4 linked regions of the Callithrix jacchus genome follow. The protein of the gene in region 3 purifies or fractionates together with the protein of the main gene of each other region. This does not show direct contact. Links are inferred from orthologs where the notes say so. Each region holds a gene or a part of one and is shown on either strand. Other genes may lie near its edges.

Region 1 (4,815 bases), on a different chromosome or scaffold from region 3:
CCCCCTTCAGTATGGGGGATGCTGCATGTGGGCTGAGAACAGCTGGGAGGAGAGCCCTCAGGGTCAAGCCTTAGAGCTCCCCACCTCTTGAAAATCCACCCTGCTCCTTTCTTTAAAGTGCACTTAATACCAGATGGGGACATTAGAGAAGGAACTCTTTGTGGAGAAAAAAGATGTATGTTGAGGAAAGGGCAGGCTCCAGCTTGAAAGGAAGGCAACTAGAGAGATTTTGCCAATGAGCTGGAAGCCCCAAACCAAAGGGTGGATGGAGATGTGAGGAGTATACGGTCCAGTACAGGTCTGAGAAAGGAATCCAGCTCATTGCATTGTGACAAAAAGAAAGGCTCAAATTTCCCAGCCTATTCACCCCCAAACCCAAGGAATCAATCATGTTGACTACATCTTCCTGTAACCATCACCATGGACAGATGAGCCGCCATTAACAGGCTGCTGGGAGCAGTCTGCCTCCTCAACTTTTCAAGATATTTTAAATCAACTCTGGGTTCTGGTCACGAGCTCTGGGGCAGGGAATATCAAAAGGAGCAGTGAAGAAAAAGGGAAATGCTCCCTTGAGCAACCCATTTCTCAGTCCAGGGGAAAACAGGAAGAGGGAGGCAAAAGGCAGGCTTTGTAGGACAGAGGTAAACACCCAAATCCTTTGATTAAGGTGAGGGATGTATGAAGAAAATTATATGTCTCATTTAGCAGCCCTTCCATTTCACCTTCCCCTGTGCTATATGTGAAAGAGGAGGGAGGAAGAATCTATTTATCTGTCTTATGATGCTAGGACATTCTTCTCCTTAAGGCTTTGTGTGTGTGTGTGTGTGTGTGTGTGTGTGTGTGTGTGTGAAGGGTCACAGCCCTCTAACTCCCGTTCTTCCTTTTGTCATGTCTGTGACCTCTACTTGGTGACTAACACCTCTCAGTGTGAGACAAGTATAAGAAAGAAGAAACATTCACCCTCCTCCCTATTGCCCCAAATAAGGAAGGTAGACTATGCTTTGAAATTGCTAAATACATCAGTAGATACTTAGAGAGTAAGACAGAAGAGACATAGCAGCAGCTTTTGATATATAGATACAGAGTACAAAGAGATACAGAGTAAGTAAGACATCAAACATAGTATAGTCCAACAACAGGGAATGGGGAGGGAGTTAGTATCAGAGACCACAGGTTTGCAGCATGCTGAAAGAAGAGGCCTCAGTCCCTCTTAGAAACTGGGAAAGAAAGAGAAAGAGAGTGTGAGGGCTCAGCTTGGAGCTCCGCCATGGAACAGGAACAGGTGGCATCTGCACACATGTTGGTTTACCATCCTGTTCCTTTAATACCAACAAGCAGACCCCCTACCCCTGCGACCCAGCCCTTCACCTCCACCCCAGGCCTCCCCGACTCCTCTTCCGCATTCCTCCTTCTCTGCTTCTCAGGCTTTTCTGCCTGTGTGTGCTGGGTCTACTATTCTGGGAAACCCCTGGAGAGGCTTCAGCTTAGATGCAGCCCAGTAAGAACTGGCCATGCTCGCTGTGCCACTTCTGGGCCCTAAAGCACCTTTGGTGAGAAACCTGGTGATAGACAAGAACAAAGAAGGTTCCTGTGCTGCTAGAGGAGAGCACCTGGGCACAGAGGAGGAAAAAGAGGGGCTTTTCCACCTCCACTAAAAAAGATGGGAGGGGAGCACTGACTGACTTCGTGAGGCACGTCCTAAAGCTTACTGGTGGCATACACACATGGGAGGAGGATGGGACACAGGTGCAGGCATAAACATCTCCTTACCGGAGGTGTCTTAGTTCCAAAAACACCTATCCATCCAAAATTATTTCAGGGTGGAGGTAGAGGTGGGGTTGGGATGGCCTTCTGATAGATCTGCCCGCTACCACCCCTGTATGGCTCTAATCTACAGAGGCCGATCTCGCTTCTTTGGACATGTGACAGTGACCCCTAGTGGCAAAAAGACAGTACTGTAATTACCGCTATTCCCTAAGGGAAAGCAAAAGCGGCCAGGGAAGGTCAGTGTCCAGGTTACATGGGGCAGCACAGACGTGGCCCCAGCAGGGGAAAGCGGGAGTTGAAGGGTAAAATGTTTTGAGATGGTTAAAAAAAAAGAAGCAGCGGGAGAACCAAAGAGGCTGTCAGCAAGAAGGGAAGCATCCTGAGGCTGGTCTGAGGAAGCAGCCTGATCTACCTGAAAGTGCAGGTATGCAGCTGTGGATGTAGGAGATTAGCTGGCTGCTGTCTCTTGGTGGAGAGGGAAAAGCTTGGCCTGGTCCTCAGCTTCATAGCCACAAGGCAGGTCACTCCTGGAGGAAGAAACCCACACAATCAGCTCCATAGAAATGAAAGTATTCCTGTCATGGTCACTCTGCTCTAAGAGGGTTTCTGTGAGATCACAAAGGGCAGGGACTATTGGTATTTTACAGGAATACAGGGAAACTCAAGGCCAGACAGACGTAAATGACTTGTCCAATATTACAAGGCTCCCAAAGGTAGGAAAGAAACCCAGTCATCAGATGCCCATGATGTTTTCATCCAGACCTTCTCACTGGAATAGGGAGAAGCCACAGATGGGAATGGAGGAGGGGAGACACTCTGCACTGGGGCAGGGGACTGACTGCATCTCCTGGACAACACAGTGAGGGAAAGAATAAGTCTGTCTTCCTCCTTCCCCCAAGGCTCCAGGAACCTCCAAGAGGGGCACAAGGGAAATTTAATCATTTCTTCTGGCCCCACCCAGAGAACTCAGGGGTAGTAGGGACTGCTGTACCTATTGTCATTGATATCTGTGGCATTTCCTGAAGAGATCATCATTGAGAAAACACGATTAGAAGAAGAAAAAGAGGAGACTGGGTGTTAGAAACAGTTTGCCAAAACCCTCCCCCATCCTGATTCCTTAGAGAAAAAAATAAGCTGCGACACTTTCTCCTTAGTTATCCCAAGCTGCATCATTATTTTGTTGGAGAAAAAGTCTCCCTGGCCCTCACTAAGGAGAGGAAAGGGGGACTGGAAGGTGAGGGTGGGGACTGGCATGGTAATAGGAGGAATCCACTTCCGCGGCAGTTTGAGACCTAAAGGATTGAGCAATGCTCAAGCTGCTGGTACAGGGTCACTTTTTAAAATATATGTATTATTATTCTTTTAGAGTTGTGGCCTTACTATGCTGCCCATGCCCAGGCTGTTCACAGATGTAATCACAGTGCACTCCTTGAGCTCCTGAGCTCAAGCAATCTTCCTATCTCAGCCTCCCAAGTAGCTGGGACTACAGGTGCGTGCCACCACACCCAACTGTACTTTTTTATTTGAAGCCTTGGCACACACGAAAGGTGCAGTTAGTATTTCTTATAGACTAAGGTCACTTTCTTTTATGCCTCTCAACTTGCTCTGAGGACCCCAAAGGTGGGATTACCCATCTTTCTCACTCACCATTGTCCGTGTTGGCTTTCTGGTAGGAAGCCAAGGGGCCACCAGAAGATGGGGCTCCACTGCTGGTACAGGAGTTAGCAAAGCTGGAGGGAGCAGAGGAAAGAGGCAGCATCTGGCACCCACCCTCCAGTAGTCTGAGGATCACTAATCCACACTCACCCTCAGTGATAGAGCTGCACAGCCCTCCCCATTCCCGGAGAGCAGAGGACAACAAACATGGTCACAAGCTGGGAGGGTAGACACCCACCTTCTAATCATAGGCATGAAGTTGAGACAAGGTTTAGGAAAATAAGCCACAACCAATAACTGACCAGCCCTATACCTTCTAGGGTCCAGTGAGCCTTGGGTGGGACTCCCACCCACACTTGTGGTCACTCACTACATGTCTGAGGAGGAGCTGGGTGTGGCCTGCAGGTAGAGATTCTGGTAGTTCTGGAAGAGGCTGTTGGTGTAACTGATGCACTCAGGGCTCCGGGTGCCATAGGGGTTGGTGGGTGAGGACGCTGGGTAGTGGCCAGGCCGGACAGGTTTGGCTGCAGTGAAGAAAGGAAACAACCATGAGGAGGCTTTGACCCTGCATTTGCCCCATCCCTGAGGTCAGTTAGCTGTGGTTGAACTGAGTTGCTTGTAACATCATCACTTTTTTACTTTTGGGGGGGAAGTGGGATGAGGCTGGGGTAGATAAGAAGCAATAATCAAGTTGCTTGGCAATTAGGAATTTGCTGAATTTGCTTCAGGGGGTATCCCACCTTGCCTGCTAACACCCACTCACCAATCTGGGCAGAATGGCCCCGCTTGCCCGAGCTCTTGTAGCGAACAGCCTCCTTGATGCGGTCCACCTCCTGCTGGTACCGGCGCTTGTCCTTCATGGCACCCTCCTTGGCTTCCTTCAGTGCACCCTCCAGGGCCTTAACTCTCTCAGCCGTAGCCCTAAGTCGTTTTTCCAGTTTAGGAAGCTCACAACGCAGATCTGCATTGTCACGTACCAGCTATGGGGTGAGCCAAAGGGAAGAAGTGGAAAGGAAGGCGAGTGACCCAAGATAGTCACCCAGAGGAGTGCAAGAGACAGGGGTGGGGAGAGAGAAGAAAGAAAAATCAGGGGTCAGAGAAGACGGAGAACATGTCATTTCCTCAAAAGGTCTCATTGCCTTTATGTAATGGGCTGTTCTGTCCAGCTCATTCCTTCTCCCGGAGCAAAGGGTGGGTGGTCAGGCACTAAAAAGTTACATAATTTTCTAGGCAGCAAAACCTGCTGTCTCCACTGCAGCCCAGAGCTCTTGCGACAGCACCATGTCCCATCTCCATCTAGCCTCCCCCACATCTCCCAGCATGTGCCAGACCAACAGCCCCAGGGCAACCATGGGATGAGGGACCCCCTTCACCAGAAAGGGCTTAGAAGGC
Region 2 (5,371 bases), on a different chromosome or scaffold from region 3:
GTAAATATGAACAAAGAGCCTTAAAAATGTTCACATTTCCTTGTAATTCCATTTCTGGGAAGCTTCTGGAAATAATCTCTAACAGGTTAGGGAGTACAAAAAGATGTTTTAGACCAGGCCCAATGGCTCATGCCTGTAATCCCAGCACTTTGGGAGGCTGAGCGGGCAGATCACATGAAGTCAGGTGCTTGACACCAGCCTGGCCAACATGGTAAAACCCCGTCTCTACTAAAAATACAAAAATCTAGCCGGGTGTGGTGATGGGCACCTGTAATCCCAGCTACTCAGGAGACTGAGGCAGGAGAATTGCTTGAACCCAGGAGGCGGAGGTTGCAGTGAGCCGATCTCACGCCATTGCACTCCAGGCTGGGTGACAAGAGTGACACTCCATCTCAAAAAAAAAAACGATGTTTCATATTTCGTACATAAAAATTGTGGTTTCTGTAAATTTCAATTATGGAACAAATTAATATAATTACATATCTAGCAAAAAGGGATGTTTATAAACCATGGTACATCCATTAGACAGAACATTAAGAGCTATTTATTACAAATGGTCCAATGCTAGATTTCAAAACAATTAAGATCACAAATTTGAATACAGTATGATCTAAACTATAAAAAAAGATCAAGCTAAATAACTTTTATAATTGCTTAAGTTTAAAAAAATTATAGCACTAATATGAGAATTTTTAAAACCCCCAAAACCATTTAACAACCAATTTTCCATATATAGCTATGAAAAGCCAGGTATAAATTACAAACCTGTGGGTATGTATAAATGTTTACACTTGTTTGCCTCCTCCACCTCGAACTGCCACTGGCTGGCTGTTCTGAACAAACGCACCTCCTCCACGAATTGCACTTGGATGAGTTGGAGAAGCTGCTGGATGTTGCCCGGGACGAATAGGTTTAGCTAATATGAAAAATAAAGACTGGCTTTAGAATAAAGCTTAAGATGTGACAGCAATGACTATTAAGGTATCTTCTCTTATTCTCGACAAATTTCCAAATGATTAGTTTTTCTTTGCCTTTTTGTTTCTCTATCACTTTTTCTTTTCTGTTCCATTCTTTTTTCTAGGACCTGTACAATTCTTAGCCTTTAAAAATCTTCTTCCTGGCCAGGTGCAGTGGCTCAGGCCTGTGTAATGCCGGCACTTCAAGAGGCTGAGGTGGGTGGATCACTTGAGTCCAGGATTTCAAGACCAAAGAGAGCAGTAAGGCAAGACCCAGTCTCTACAGAAAATACAAAAATCAGCCAGATGTGGTGGTATGCTCCTGTAGGTAGTCCTGGCTACTTGGGAGGCTGAGGTGGGAGGATTGCATGGGCCTGGGAGGTTAGGGCTGCAGAGAGCCATAATTGTACCACTGCAGTCCAGCACAGGTGACAGTGTAAGACCCTGTGTCATTTAAATAAATATACAGAAACAAATAAAAAACAAAAAACTTCCTGCACCAATGATGGTTATTATTATTATTTGAGATGGAGTCTCTCTCTTGTCACCCAGGCTGGAGTGCAATGGCGCAATCTTGACTCACTGCAACCTCCACCTCCCAGCTTCAAAGGATTTTCCTGCCCCGGCCTCCCAAGTAGCTGGGATTACAGCTGTTAACCACCATGCCCAGCTAATTTTCTGTATTTAGTAGAGAGGCGGTTTCACCATGTTAGTCAGGTTGGTCTCAAACTCCTGACCTCAGGTGATCCAACCACCTCGGCCTCCCAAGGTGCTGGGATTACAGGCGTGAGCCATTGTGCCCAGCCACCAATGATCATTCTTAAACATGAAATCATTGCTGATGGCTTTTCTTGCAATTCTCTTGGCTTTAGTAATATTGCTCTATATAGTTTCTCCATTCCATGACAATTCTTGCTTGCTTCTCTAGTTCTCATTTATCTTCATGTCCTGCTAATGTGGTTATTCCTCTTTCCCACCATGTGCCACTCTTTGCTAAGTTAGAAAATAAAGACAGATGCACCATGAAAACACGTTATAAAATTCAGATTATGTTTTCAACTAAAAGCATTCAAACTGAGCAAGGTTTAAAGGTTTTAATGTGTTCTACTAACCAATCTGTGCAGAATGCCCTCTTCTGGCCATATTCTTTGACCTGACTGCTTCCTTTATGCGATCTACTTCTTGCTGATAGCGTTTGCGATCACGAGATGCATTTTCTTTGGCTTCTTTCAACGCTGATTCCAAAGCTTTCACTCTTTCAGCTGTAGCTCGAAGTCGCTTTTCCAACTTAGGAAGTTCGCAGCGGAGATCTGCATTATCACGTACCAACTAAGGGGTTCACAAAGAAAACAAGGATTCTAGATTTAACAAAATGATTTTTAAAAGTACAAGTATTTCATAATTGCTCTTTAGAAAAGAAGTAAAACTGCATCTTATGTTGTTTCCCATTTATCTAATTTAGGCAGAAACATGCAGAGAATACATCCATCTGTACATATCATATACACATCTATTTATTCACAAAGGTATAATTTCCTCTAATTTTTTTTGAGGGGGGGGACTGTTATTTCCCTCTACTAGGCAAAGACAATAAATTACAAGACAGTGCTATGTTTCTTCAGTAAGACAAGTAATCTGCTGAAATGAAAATCTCTTTAGATATATTAAGCACATAAGAAACATAAACTTAGCAAGACCCTTAATAAGTGCTGAAGACAAGAAAAGCTAAAATATCTTTAACCATACTCTGGTGCAAACATCAGGTTTACAGTAACAAAGATACACAACAATTAAGTGTAGAGAAACTTTTTGAAATTAGTAACTTAAATCATTTATCAAGTCCCAACAAAAAATAAGCAAAGAACCAAAAAAACCTCCAAAGTAAGCATTACTTTTTAAAAACATGACAAACTCCTTCATTATATTTGACACACTGGGTGGTGTATTAGGTATAAAAAGACCACTCTCCCCAGAAGACTGTATTTTAACTGCAAAGTCTATGTAGTAGAGATTTCAAAATTACAATAAATTATGAAAATGCAGTCTTAAAATCCTAAAGAGAAAATAAGAATACATATTTTCACTATCTCTTTTGATAATAAGGTTGTTAAAATTAACTCCTCTAAAAGTTACTTGTGGTTTCTTTACATAATTTCTGATAAAATGGCTCAGAGTATAGAAATTCTGAAAGACTGAAATACTTGCCAATAATCAATTTTTGATTTGTTACTACCCTTTCAGCTACCAGAAAATAAACTCTTTAGTACCTGTTTGTGCACTTTAGTGAGCTGTTCAAGATTATTTTCAAGAAAGGAGATTTTTTGCTTCTGAGCAGCGCTGCCTCCAGTGTCATCAGAATCAATCTCAGCACTCTGAGAAAAGAAGGTAAGTATTACGAAAAAATAAAAAAATAAAAAAAATCTAAGCTTAATTGTACAAAAACTGACATAACTATAAAGTTATTTCACTTTGAATAAAAGAATTACCTAGAAGTAAGCACCATTACACAAACACCCACCTCGGCATAGTTATATTACCTTTTTAACTCTGGTAGCCAGGTCCTGAACAAAGAGCTTGCGCAGGTTATGTAAAGTCTGAAGTTCTTTTGCCTTGGATTAAGAAACAGCAATATTTTTGGAGTTCAGACTTTAAATTCAGAATAATCATGGTAGAAAAAACCCCACAAAATATTCCCCAGTCCTTTTCTTACCACTGTCTCTTCCAAACCCTTCAAGTCTTGTTTTGCTTGTTCTCGTCTATCTTGTATAATCCTAACAGAAGAACAAACATAAATTTTCAAATTTTATTCCATAAAATTCTAGTTGTACTTTGCATGAGAGTTGAATATTTTGTATCTGAAAGGATCAATTATTAAATTTAAATAAATACAAGATGCTTGCTTTAAACAATTTATCCATGTTGTATTTCAATTTTTTTTTTTGAAACAGCGTTTCTGTCCTGAACACTGCTCACTGCAGCCTTTGACCACCTAGGCTCAAATGATCCTCCCTGCTTCAGTTTCCCAAGTAGCTGGGACTACAGGCATGTACAACCAGGCCTGTCTAAAGAGTTTTTTGTAGAGACGGGGTCTCCCTATGCTGCCTAGGCTGATTCTCAAACTCTAGGCTCAAGTGATTCTCCTGCCTTGGCCTACCAAAGTGCTATTATGGGTGTGAGCCACTGCACCTGGCCATTTTGAAGAAATTTCCTATGCCTTCTAAAACAACAGTTTATTGTTATAAATTCCATATACACCAACAAAAGAGATGAAATAAAATGTGGCCGAATTCGAAGAATAAGGAATGGTTCTAATTTGTATTTTCAAATATGCCATATTATTATACTCTTATTTATCCAAAGTGACGATTAACTAATTACAGAGATTATAAACTATCAAAGACTAAAATATTTTACATTAAAATTATTCTAAACACAATTACAGCTGCAAGTTAGCAGAATCTTTATAAAATCCACTATGAACTTGTCCTGATGTTCTAACTATCCTAATAGCAGTTCATTTGCAAATTATCTCACAAACTCAAGGTATGTGAAAAATTATAATCATGAATTTTCTACTTGAAGACTCTAGAAAACTGAGTTTTCAGAAAATGAGAAAAAGTAAACCATGGAAACCTCTGTTCAAAACGGCAAGGCTAAAACCACAATGCTCTTTTATGTAAGAGAAAAACTTAACAAAAACTTAGTTTTTGTGATAGATCTTAAAATCTTTTAAGTTACTTAATATCTTGTTTTCAGTTAATTTTTATGCTGTGTCCTGAAGTAATATGGAGATAAGGAAACAGTAAGCAGACTGATAAACAGAAAACTAAATCTTAACCACCACTGAAATATAAGACCTTGCTTTCACTAAAATACAAATGTATATTCCAAGTTTTTAGATATAAATCATACCAACTCAATGGAGTTAAGAAAAACATCCTTTAGCCCATACAAAGTAAAATATGTATCCACTGGCTATATCCAAGGGTAACGCCTATAATCCTTTAATTTAGCTTTATTTTTAAACTTTAATTAAAAACAATTACTCACGTAAGCTCATGTAGTTTTCTGCTCTTTTCCTGATCTGTAGCTTTCAACTTCTCATGTTCTACTCTTAGACGTTCCTGCTCTAACATCATTTTCTGGTTTTGGCTGATGGAAAAAAAAAAAACACAGTTTCAATATCATAGTTTTCTCAATGTCATCATTAAAATTTCCGAACTTTGAAATTCTATAATCTCATCAAGGACTTTTATGTTATCCTATTCCCCAAGTAGGAAAACACGGAAGGGATCTTACTATTTCCAGACATACAAAATTTTTCGTATTTTGGTTTGAAATCATGATTTTGTTCTGCTATGTCTTTCATCTTGCTGAGTCCCTATGCCTACTTCATTAGGTATTAATAACAAGAC
Region 3 (5,371 bases):
CTTATCCTGGAGGAAGGTCACATGAAGTGAGAGCCCAGGCCCCGTTTGCACATCCCTGCCCAGCCCTGCCCCACAGAGCTACCTTGCTCTCCTCCCGCTCCTCTGCATGCATCCAGATGGGCTTGTTGTCCCCTGGGGAGAGAAAGGGGACCGTCACCAGCCTACCACATAGGCCTCACCTGGTTGGGCTGGACACAGGATGGAGTCTGGGGAGGGAGGACCAGGGTTGAGCTTTTTTTTTTTTTTTGAGACAGAGTTTCGCTCTTGTTACCCAGGCTGGAGTGCAATGGCACGATCTCGGCTCACCGCAACCTCTGCCTCCTGGGTTCAGGCAGTTCTCCTGCCTCAGCCTCCTGAGTAGCTGGGATTACAGGCACGCGCCACCATGCCCAGCTAATTTTTTGTATTTTTAGTAGAGACGGGGTTTCACCATGTTGACCAGGATGGTCTCGATCTCTTGACCTCGTGATCCACCCGCGTAGGCCTCCCAAAGTGCTGGGATTACAGGCGTGAGCCACCGCGCCCGGCCTGAGCTTTGTTGAATGAAGGAACAAGAATGAGACCCAAAACACTACTGACCCTCTAATGGACAAAGAGATGAGCAGAACAGACCCTTACACACCTCAGGCCACAGCCCAAGACATGTGATAGGCCTGAATGACAGGCCAGGCTCCAAGGGACTCAGGAGCAGGAGATGACAAGCCATCCAGGGCCAGAGGTGGTTTCCCAGAGCGGGAGACGCTGGGGCCAGGCCCTCAAGGTTAGCAGGAGTCACCAGTGGAGAAAAGGGATCCAAAAGTGTGTGAGGCACTGGCAGGCCAAGGGGGCTGCCTGAGTCGGGTGTGTGTTCACATGTGCAAATGTGAACACAGGTAGCTGGGCACCAGCAGAGGGTGAGGCTGGGGACCAGCCAGGACCAACCAGAGGAACTGCTGGCTGAAGGATTTGTCCTGGGTGCTGATGGCAGAGCGGGCCTGGGATGAATGGGCCAGAGGCACATGGCAACCATGCACTCACCATTGACAGAGCCAAACTCTTTCTCGTGAGCGCGGGTGAGGATCTCCTTGTACAAGGTCTCTGCATCCTGGTACTTGCCCTGCTTCAGGTAGCAGGAAGCCTGGAAGCAGGGGACCCAGAGAGTGAGCGGATGGATGGAGCCAAGCCATTCTCTCCTCCTTCCCCAACCTCATCCCTCCCTCCCTCCTTCCTATCCTCCAGCCCCTCCCAACCCCAAGGCACCAGGTTGTTCTTGGTCTTAGCCACGTTGGGGTCATCAGGCCCAAGGCGTGTAGCATAGATCTCCAGTGCCCGCCGGTAGTAGTATTCTACCTCCTCGGCTTTACCCTGGTTCTGGCATAGCAGGGCCAGATTGCTGAGCTGCTTAGCCACGTCTGGGTGAAACTTGCCCAGGACCTGGGATGGGAGAGGGAGCCAGGGCTGGGCTCAGGGCTGCCTGGGCCCCTGCCTCCCAGACCCCCAGCCTGCCCAGTCCTGCCTACTCCCACCTTCTCCCGGATCTCCAGCGCCCGCTTGCACAGTGGCTCAGCCTCCTTGTACTTGCCCCGCTTGCCATACAGGACCGCCAGGTTGTTTAGTGTTGCAGCCACCTAGGGGTGGGAGAATGGAAGCTCCTTGACCCAGGCCCTGCAGGACTCTGGGACCTACAGAGGATGGGGCACAGCCCCCACCTCCCACCCAATCCTCACTCACAGCCGGGTGGTCCTTGCCCAGTGTCTTCTCCCGGATGGCCAGAGCGTCATTGAGCAGGTGGGCAGCCTCCTTGTACTTGTTCTGGTCCCTGGAAGCAGGCAGGAGCATGGTCATGGCTGTCCTCCAGCTTAAGGCCCTCCCCAGTGGCCTTCAATCCCTGTGGTCACTCCTGTACTCACTGAGGAGTGACAGTGTGGGGAGACCTGCTTGGCTCCTGCCCTCTGAGCTCTGGGGGCTGTGGGCAGTTTTCTCACAATTAACTGGGGTGTGTAGTGCTGGGGTCCCACTGACTGCCTGGTGGCTAGTGTCCTGGGTGCCACATGGCTCTCCTGCTGCCCCTCTAGCGTGTCCTGCTCTCCAGGTCCCAGTGACTTTGCTCATGCTGGCTTTTTTCCATGGGAACCTTTTCCATCCCTCTTATGTTGGGCAAACTCACTTTCTGCCAAAGCTCCTCCTCCAGCCTTGGTACCTGGAGAAGCCATGCGGACTCCCCAGGACCCTTGCAGTCCTCATGTGCAGTCCCTCCGAGGTTCTGGCCAAGCCTCTCTCCTACACTAGGCAGTTTTACTAGTGCAGCCCAGCTGCACGCAGACGGGGCCCAAGTCCTGGCCCACACAGGCACCAAGGGTTGGTGATCCAGGGCTAGAGCCTTCCAGAAGAATTTGGGCACCCCGAGGGAGCCCTCACCGATAGACCAGTGCCAGGATGTTCAGCATGGTGGCAACGTCAGGATGGTCGTGGCCTGAGGTCTTCTCCAGGTCCTCCAGTGCCTGCTTGCAGAGTGGCACAGCTACCTCGTAGCGGCCCTGTGAGGCATACTGGATCACCAGGTTGTGCAGGGTACGGAGCCGGGCCGGAATCTCGTATCCCCCATGCTGAGCAGACACATCCCCTCCTCCTGGGCTAGGGGCTGCAGGCCAAGGGCAGGAGGTCAGATGTACCATCTGCCCGCTGGGCTGGGCTGGCACATGCCAGCAGTGCCTTTGAGCCACTTGACACCTGGCCCTGGGCAAGTCACTAAGCACTCTTTCTCAGTTTCCCCATTTGTAGAGTGGGTCTAGTTACCCCATAGAAAGAGGGGGTAGAGGCCCAGCTCCAGTACGTCAGGCTCAGTATCCTGCAGTAAGTCACCTAACCTCTGAGCCTGTGTCCCTGTGTACAGAGTGGAAGCCCCAACGCTCGCCCAATACCTGAGCAAGGCAGGCACTGGCCCTGGTGTGGCTCTGCAAGTGCCTCCCACAGAGGTGGCACAGAGAGGAAGATAACTCTCCCAGGGGTCTGAGGAGCTAGTGGCAGAGCAGCACTGGAAGCCAGGCTGGCAACTCCATAGCTCTTAACTGTGATGTCTGCTCCCTAGAACTGGGGGATGTGAGAAGCAGCAGCACATACAACTGTTCTTGAAGCTCTAACACTAGGATGTCATGAGCAGAAGTAAGGCAGGAAGGAACATGGCAGCCACTCGGTCCCAAGGACTGTGAGTTCACACAACCTTTCCTTCCCTCACTCCAGAACTGCCCATCCGCACCTGTGCTCTGCTCATCCTCATTGGGGAACAGGTCATCCAGAGTGTCTTTGGGGACGTCCCCCTTCTCCTCCTGGGGAGGAAGACAGGATGAGCGTCAGGGAAGGAAGCACAGGGCGGCCAAGGTGACCATGGGCTGGGTTGGAGCCAAATCTGCTCCATGCTGCCCCCTTCCTGCTCCCAAGCCCCCTTGCTGGGCAACAGTGACCATGGTAGGGGCTCACATTAGGGGAGGCGTCTTCGTCCAACTTGCGGATCTGGCTCATGAACAGCAGGTGCTGCTTCTCCTCCTCGAGCTGGGCCACAGCTTGCTCACTGCGCTGCAGCTTCTGCTGTGTGCCCGCCAGCTCCTCACGCAGCCACTGGTTCTCCTGCACCAGGCGCCGTACCTGCGCCCGCAGCTTCTGCTTCTCTGATTCTACGGCCCCCAGGTGGCTCGACAGTGCCAAGATCACCTGTGCAAACAGCCCAGGTAAGGGTCGGAGCCCTGCTGATCCCCTCGCTTATGACTCTAACCTGTGCCTCGTGAAGAACCAGGCCTGACCCTACAGTGAGAAGCTGCAGACCTTGGGGTTCTCTCCTCCTCAAGGAAGAATCTCCTCAAGGCCCCAAACACACTATAGTCCAAGGCCCAAACCCAGGAGGCTTGGGAGTCCCCAATTCCTTCCTTCTGGGATCAGGAGAACCCCAGAAAAGTCCTAGTTGGGGTGCTGTGCTTTCCTTGAGCTCCTAGCCTCTTCATCTCTCCCTGGGTTGTACTCAAGCTCCTGCTGCCACAGCCACTAGGTTACTGCTCCCTGCCCCAGGGCTAGCACTTGCCCGCTGAACTCTGCTAGATGGCTGAAAGGCCACCCAAAGACTCTGTCCCCACTTCTGCCAAGGGGCCACAGCATCCCCTGCCTTTCTGCAGCTCCCAGGTAGGGAAGGGGCATGTGTCCCAAATGCTCAGCTGGCATGAGGAGCCACAGGGACAGGAAAAGCCTTGGCCTCAAACTCCACCCCTCTCCCCAGCCTCTATAACTCCTTTCCTGAGTTTCTAGTCTCTTCCTGCCTAGGTTCCACCCTGCCTTCTCTCTCTCTCTCTCTCTCTCTTTTTTAATTTGAGATAAGGTCTCACTCTGTCACGCAGGCCGAAGGGCTATGGCACCATCACAGCTCACTGCAGCCTCTACCTTCCAGGTTCAAGTGGTCCTTCCCGCCTGAGTAGCTGGGACTACGAGTGCACACCACCACAAGCCTTAGTCCTGGCTATTTAGGAGGCTGAGGCAGGAGAATCGCTTGAACCTGGAAGGCGGAGGTTGCAGTGAGCTGAGATCGCACCACTGCACTCCAGCCTGGGCGACAGAGTGAGACTCTTCTCAAAAAAAAAAAAAAAAAAAAATTTTTTTTTGTAGACATGGGGTCTTATGATGTTGCCCAGGCTGATCTAGAACTCCTGGATTTAAGCAATCCTCCCACCTGGGCCTCCCAAAGGGCTGGGATTACAGGCGTGAGCCACCACACCTGGCCTTACTCTGGGCCTTCACCCTTTCCTGGTCCTTCATGGTCCAGGGTCATTTCTGCAGTGGTGCCTCCAGCTAGTCACACCTCCCACTCTGCTCCGGCTTCACACATGGCCTTGATGCCCATGCCCTCTGTGAGAGTGCATATGCTCCACCAGATGTGGAGCCCCTGAGTGGTCCTCTCCGCCTCTGACAGCCAAGTGGCAGAGGAGTGAATGTCCTTGCAGAGGGCCAGGCTGTCTGGGACCCTGCACTTTCTAGTTGGTTAGCAAATGCCCAAGTGACAGGTGTTTCCATAACCACTAGCTTTAAAAAAATAATTCCCCCAACAGCCTGGAAGTGTACACAGCAGATGGCATGATCCCTATTTTAAAGACAAGGAAACCAAGATGATACAACCTCCCCAGGATTCACACGCCAGGCAGGGGCTCAGCCAAGCTCTGAGGGGAATAAAACAAGTCTAACTCCTTGTACATCCATCCCAGTGGCTCCTGGACATCTCCATCTGCCTGTCACCCTGGCAGCCTCAGTTAAAGGGGGCCAAAACAGAGTTCTGATCCACCCAGGCCCTCTCCTCCCTTAATTTGCTTAAACCACAAACCTGGGAATGATGTTCCCCTCCTCTCTCTCCCTTATT
Region 4 (5,371 bases), on a different chromosome or scaffold from region 3:
TCACCCAAAGTTATACAACTACTCCATTAGCTCTTTTCACCCTAATGATTAACTCACACTTATAAGAAAAAAACCCAGAATGATATAAATGAGAGCTATCAATGAAATTAACTAGGGCATCCAATGTCTGGAATCCAAAAATAATCTCAAAAACATCCAACTGAGTATTTAAAAATAATCTCAATCTCAATCATACTTCAGATTCCCAAAGGTAAAGACTTTTTTTTTAATACTGAAGCACCTAGACACTCCTGATTTCATTAGCATTTTCATCAGCTCTATTTAAGAACTTAGCATAAAAATACATTCTTCCTTTATCATTATCAGCAGCAAGCATCAGCTTCCCATAAATCAACCCCACCTTCATATTGTGAGGCCATTTAATCACTTCACATCAGAATTTTATTGCTCAACACAAATGTATGGTTCCAAAAATTAAATCTCCAAATATAAAATCACCAAACTGAAGCTTAATAAGGTTAACTCTACAGTATGTGCTAGAATTAGATTCACTCACAAGGATTTATGAAATATTCAGTTACCATACAGGTTCCATGAAAGAATGGTTAATAGGCAGTCATGTACTCTAAGTAGAGACCTGATACGCCCTCCAAAAAGAGCTTTCATCATTTCCCAGCAATAGTCTACAAAAGGAAGCCTAATCTTGGGAGCTTTTCTGTATTTAACAATCTCAACTCACAACCTCAGTGTTCCCACTAAACAGACTGATGTAGAATTCATCTTTCTAAAGATAAAATGGCTAAATGCAAAGATTTTGGTTTCAGCAAATTGTGAGATGTAAGGTAAGCAATGTCATTACCATTCCCCAGCTCAAGAAAATCAACATATATCATCACTGACTCCTCTGTGTAAGATGCTATATTATTATAAAGCTATGGGAATCAAAACATTGTGGTATTGGCAGAAAGACTTGATCCACGAAACAAAATAGAGAGACCAGAAAGAGCCCCACATACTTTTGGCAGAGATGGAGACACTCATTATCTTAACGGTGCTGATGGTTTCATGAGTGTACACATATGTCGAAATTTCTCAGACTGTATACTTTCAATATGAACAGCTTTATGTAAATTATACCCAATAAAATTTTGTTTTAAAAGTGTCTCTACCCTGTTTTTTTGGTTAATGACAACAATGGCCTTTCTATATTCCAGAAAATTGTTAACTGCTCTTGGCTGACACCATTTTTAATTATCTCTCTTCCTTCTATTCCTAGCTCCTAGACAACTTTATACCACCCCTATTCTCCCCACATCTTACTTTCTAGCCATCAAGAGCACCAATGACCAGGCACAGTGGCTCATGCCTGTATTCCCAGCACTTTGGGAGGCCAAGGTGGGCAAATCACTTGAGGCCAGGAATTTGAGATCAGCCTGGCCAACATGGAGAAATCCCATCTCTACTAAAAAATTAAAAGAAAAATACAAAAATTAGCAGAACATGGTGGCACATGCCTGTAATTCCAGCTTCTCGGGAGACTGAGGCACAAGAATCACTAGAATATGGGAGGCAGAGATTGCAGTGAGCCGAGATTGCACCACTGCACTCCAGTCTCTGGGTGACAGAGCAAAACTCTGTCTCAAAAAACAAACAAAAAAACCAAGAGCACCAATGCATACAACACGAGGGGATCCATCACAATTGGTTTATGCCAATTATAGTAATCCTATTCCCCTTTGCTTTCCCAGAAACGTGGAGTGGTCATGTGATCCAATCCTGGCCAATGAAGTGTAAGGAAATGTCTCCTGGGGACATCTGGGATATGTTTCCCTCCTAGATGAAAGCAGTTGGCCTTTTCAGCCCATCCTGCCTTGAATGTCGTTGAGTGAGGATGTGATGATTTGTACTACAGCAGCTATCTTGCTACCATGAGGCACAATCCTCTGGATATGAAAAGGAAACAGGCTGGGAATTTGACATTATTGAGTCATGGCACCAAACCAAAATTTACTTCTCAAACTTTAATAAACATAAAGAATCACCTGGAGGATCTTGTTAAAGTACAGATTTTGATTCAATAGGTCTGCGGTGGGGCCTGAGAGGCTGTAGTTCCAATAAGCTTCCTGTTGAGGCAGATCACACCCTGAATAGCGAGATTTTAGGCTTCTGATATCGTGATAATTAAATGTGGTTTTATTTCTTAAGCCATAGAATCCTATTACTTTCACACTGACTTGTTGGAGAATTTTCACTCCACTGGGCTCTTTTAGAAATGGAAAAACACAATTCTGAGATTTGAACTGTTGCTTAAGCTATTTAATTCCAAACTTCTGCAACAAAATAAGTTTGAGGAATAAACCAGTTTACACAAAGACAACCAAGATTTGAAGACACTGCCTAGATTTCAAAGGTAAATTTGTTTTTCCTCCTCACTCCAACAACCATTCACTCAGTCATTCAATCAGTCCTTTTCTCATTCATACAAACACTACCAAGCATATGGCAGATGCAAAGCACAGTGCTAAGTATTGATGCTTAAAAGAATAAAGCATAGACCCCGCTAACTTGATAAGAACAGGCAGAGAGGATAAAAGGGCTGGCTTACGGTTTTCACATCATTGGTGCCAATAATTCCACCTATCTCCCCCAAATCTTTCAACAGCAAATTCAGGATCTCAGTTGCCCTTTTCTTCTGGTGGTTGCTAAGCTCTTGTAGCTGGCTCAGCTCTCTCTGCGTGGTTGTCAATGTAGTCTGAAAAACAAATTTCAACAACAAATTCAAAGAGTTGTCCATCAATTTCATACACTCCACATTACAAAGAATAACACCATCATGTAGAATGGATTTCTTTTACATGACTTCAACCTAAGAATCATTTTAAGGCAAATGGTTGCATAGCCCTGCATTCTTAGATAAGAAGAGGAACTCTATATTCACAAGTTATATCACATGGCCTGATGTTATATGTCTACATATCAGATGACAATTTCCAAGTCAGGGAAATAAGTTATTAAAAATAAGTAAAGCCAAAAAAGAAATCTTAAGTTTATAACGTAATTGCATCCTCCTACTTACCAGATGTTCTATTTCAGACCTCCCTGTTTCATTTCATGGTCTAAACTCACCTGCAAGTGTCCCCACCTCCACTCCTAAACAAACCTGCTCCCTGGCAACCTCCATATTTCCACCTAAATTGACAAAGACAGGTGGATCTAAAACAGATGGCCTAGAGGAACATCAACAAGTTTAGAAAACTTCACAAAAGTCTAATTTTCAGAGTGAAGCTGAATTAAACACTCTTCATCTTTTTTCAAAATTAGGTTAAGTTCAATAGTTGGTTTCTTACTATATAGCAGAAGCTCTATTTTCTTGTCAAACTTTAATAAACCCATCTCTTTTTCATCCTTCCTGTATCTTGACAAAAGGTATGTATTCTTAACTAATGCTCACCATCAGTAAAACAGTTATCTGCTTATACAATTCTCCCATATGTAGCCAGGGCATTCTTAAACAATCTAATAATCATCTTCTAAACCAATCTAGTAATACTTTGGTTTCATGGCAAGTAAGAACTGTATTATGAAAAATGTTTCATTGTTTTAAGAAGGAAATAATATTAAGGATGAATTAAAAGAATCCCATAGAAAACACTAAGCAGAGGAAATCTAAGTCTCCCCTTTCCTAAGTGACATCTGAATGAGTTTGTTTTATTTTGTTTGGCATTGCCAACTGCTTATGTCATCTTGTTTTTAAAACCCACAGAGGCAGTAGTCCCCATCTTAGGAAGCTGCTAGAAAAGTCTTCTTCCTGCATGCCGTGAGGAGAACTTCCTGTCAGCCTCACAGTCGGCAGATCAGCACTCTCCTGTGCCATCTGCCACTTCTTTTTAAACTGGATGCTTTCCACAAAGCAGGCTGGGCACAAGCCCAGGACACCAGGCCATTGCACAGAAGTGCTAAGGAAAGCAGGTTAGAGTCACTCAGCTTCTCTACCACTCATTTTCCAGGTAGAAAAGGACACATCCCATCCCATCATGCCAAACACTCACTGGCCCTGCTACTGCTAGCTCACTGTAGAACCTACGGCATCTTTCATTAGAAGAATCTGGAAATAAGGGAATGTGCAGGCTGAAACACTGGCTTAAAACAGAATAGCAAACAAACAAACAAGGGCAGCTTAATTCCAGGCTCCTGAAAATAACAGCCAGGACAGGAAGCCCACAGAAAGGAATGGAATTCATTCAGGAGGGTATAAGCAAGAAGAGTGAAGTCCATACCTTCTGTGGGACCCCATTTCTTGCCAGTAGCAATGCTTGGAGATGTATGTATTGATATTGTAGCACATGCACAGATCTGTGCTGAGTGTTTTACATAAACTGTCACTAATCTTCACACCATGCAAGCAGCATGTTATCATTGCCATTTTTACAGATAAGGGAATGAATACTCACAAAACTTTACTGTCGCAGCTAAGGTCTAAGAGTTATGAAGTCAGACTTGTAACTAAGATTTTCTGGCTCCAAAGTCTGCACTCTTTTCACTATTCCCACAGAGCATCCCCACTAATGTTATAAATTCTCTGGATATAAAGCAGTCGTGATATGCAGTTCAAGATGAGTGGACAAAAGTCACTTGCATGAAGTATTTCAATTGTTGGTGGGATCTCAGAGAATACATCTAACACTGAATAACTATTCAGCCACCACCTCCTTATACCACGTCTGTCAATGAATAGCAATATGAGTACAGGAATGGCAGCCAAGGAAGTCCCACCCCCTAGACACAAATGCTCCAACCGTTTTCTGGGCCAGCTCGTCTGTCAGCTGCTCATTGGCCCGGGTCTTATCCTCCACTTCCTGTGATTTCTGGTCGTAATTGACAGCCAGCTCCTCCAGGGCCTGGAGAACTTCTTTCACCTCATCCTTGGCTGCCTCGTTTTCAATCTGGAGACGTGTCAGCTCCTCTTGTATCTTCTCATAGTCTCTTCTTGTGGAAGCTAAAAGCTAGGGAAATAGGATGGCATGGAACTTGTGAAACTAGTGTTCAAATGTTTACATTCTATGCTGTATCCAAAATTAAGTAATTTAAAAACAAGATACAAGAAAAAAAGTTGGAAAACTTCAGGATGATGGAAAATCTCACAGTATGGTCCAGACTTTAAAAATAAATAAATTAAAAGACAGATATGTTCTTATTGCAAAATCTGTTTTGTGTGCACATGTGTTTTGTTTTATATGTTATTTTTTGTTGTTAGTTTAAAGCTGTATAGCCTTAACTCAAAGAAAACTGTATTTTATAGTTAGTTGGCTATTCCATACTTTAAACAAAGTATTGGGGCCAGATGCAGTGGCTCATGCCTATAATTCCAGCACTTTGAGAGGCCGAGGCAGGTGGAGCACTTGAGGTCAGG

What was found.
Region 1: the proteins of KLC2 (region 3) and KIF5A purify together in Homo sapiens (affinity purification with western blotting; 3 studies listed by BioGRID and IntAct, with this or other methods). This does not show direct contact. The link is inferred for Callithrix jacchus from reciprocal best matches to the Homo sapiens genes KLC2 and KIF5A.
Region 2: the proteins of KLC2 (region 3) and KIF5B fractionate together in Homo sapiens (co-fractionation; 7 studies listed by BioGRID and IntAct, with this or other methods). This does not show direct contact. The link is inferred for Callithrix jacchus from reciprocal best matches to the Homo sapiens genes KLC2 and KIF5B.
Region 4: the proteins of KLC2 (region 3) and KIF5C purify together in Homo sapiens (affinity purification with western blotting; 3 studies listed by BioGRID and IntAct, with this or other methods). This does not show direct contact. The link is inferred for Callithrix jacchus from reciprocal best matches to the Homo sapiens genes KLC2 and KIF5C.

What each region holds. Positions count from the first base shown.
Region 1 is NC_133510.1:62,114,534-62,119,348, forward strand, and holds part of KIF5A (kinesin heavy chain), read right to left. Parts: intron 4,404-4,815; coding exon 4,187-4,403; intron 3,948-4,186; coding exon 3,794-3,947; intron 3,498-3,793; coding exon 3,415-3,497; intron 3,257-3,414; exon of another isoform or gene 3,134-3,256; intron 2,787-3,133; coding exon 2,759-2,786; intron 2,481-2,758; exon of another isoform or gene 2,431-2,480; intron 2,295-2,430; coding exon 2,216-2,294; 3' UTR 2,180-2,215; intron 1,218-2,179; 3' UTR 1-1,217. UniProt on the Homo sapiens protein: Microtubule-dependent motor required for slow axonal transport of neurofilament proteins (NFH, NFM and NFL). Can induce formation of neurite-like membrane protrusions in non-neuronal cells in a ZFYVE27-dependent manner.
Region 2 is NC_133508.1:31,751,945-31,757,315, forward strand, and holds part of KIF5B (kinesin-1 heavy chain), read right to left. Parts: intron 5,109-5,371; coding exon 5,007-5,108; intron 3,728-5,006; coding exon 3,667-3,727; intron 3,566-3,666; coding exon 3,494-3,565; intron 3,329-3,493; coding exon 3,224-3,328; intron 2,286-3,223; coding exon 2,069-2,285; intron 917-2,068; coding exon 786-916; 3' UTR 766-785; intron 1-765. UniProt on the Homo sapiens protein: Microtubule-dependent motor required for normal distribution of mitochondria and lysosomes. Can induce formation of neurite-like membrane protrusions in non-neuronal cells in a ZFYVE27-dependent manner.
Region 3 is NC_133511.1:123,340,171-123,345,541, reverse strand, and holds part of KLC2 (kinesin light chain 2), read right to left. Parts: intron 3,688-5,371; coding exon 3,457-3,687; intron 3,306-3,456; coding exon 3,236-3,305; intron 2,621-3,235; coding exon 2,398-2,620; intron 1,799-2,397; coding exon 1,711-1,798; intron 1,608-1,710; coding exon 1,506-1,607; intron 1,414-1,505; coding exon 1,240-1,413; intron 1,118-1,239; coding exon 1,018-1,117; intron 133-1,017; coding exon 83-132; intron 7-82; coding exon 1-6. UniProt on the Homo sapiens protein: Kinesin is a microtubule-associated force-producing protein that plays a role in organelle transport. The light chain functions in coupling of cargo to the heavy chain or in the modulation of its ATPase activity.
Region 4 is NC_133507.1:81,414,135-81,419,505, forward strand, and holds part of KIF5C (kinesin heavy chain), read right to left. Parts: intron 4,965-5,371; coding exon 4,758-4,964; intron 2,714-4,757; coding exon 2,567-2,713; intron 1-2,566. UniProt on the Homo sapiens protein: Microtubule-associated force-producing protein that may play a role in organelle transport. Has ATPase activity. Involved in synaptic transmission. Mediates dendritic trafficking of mRNAs.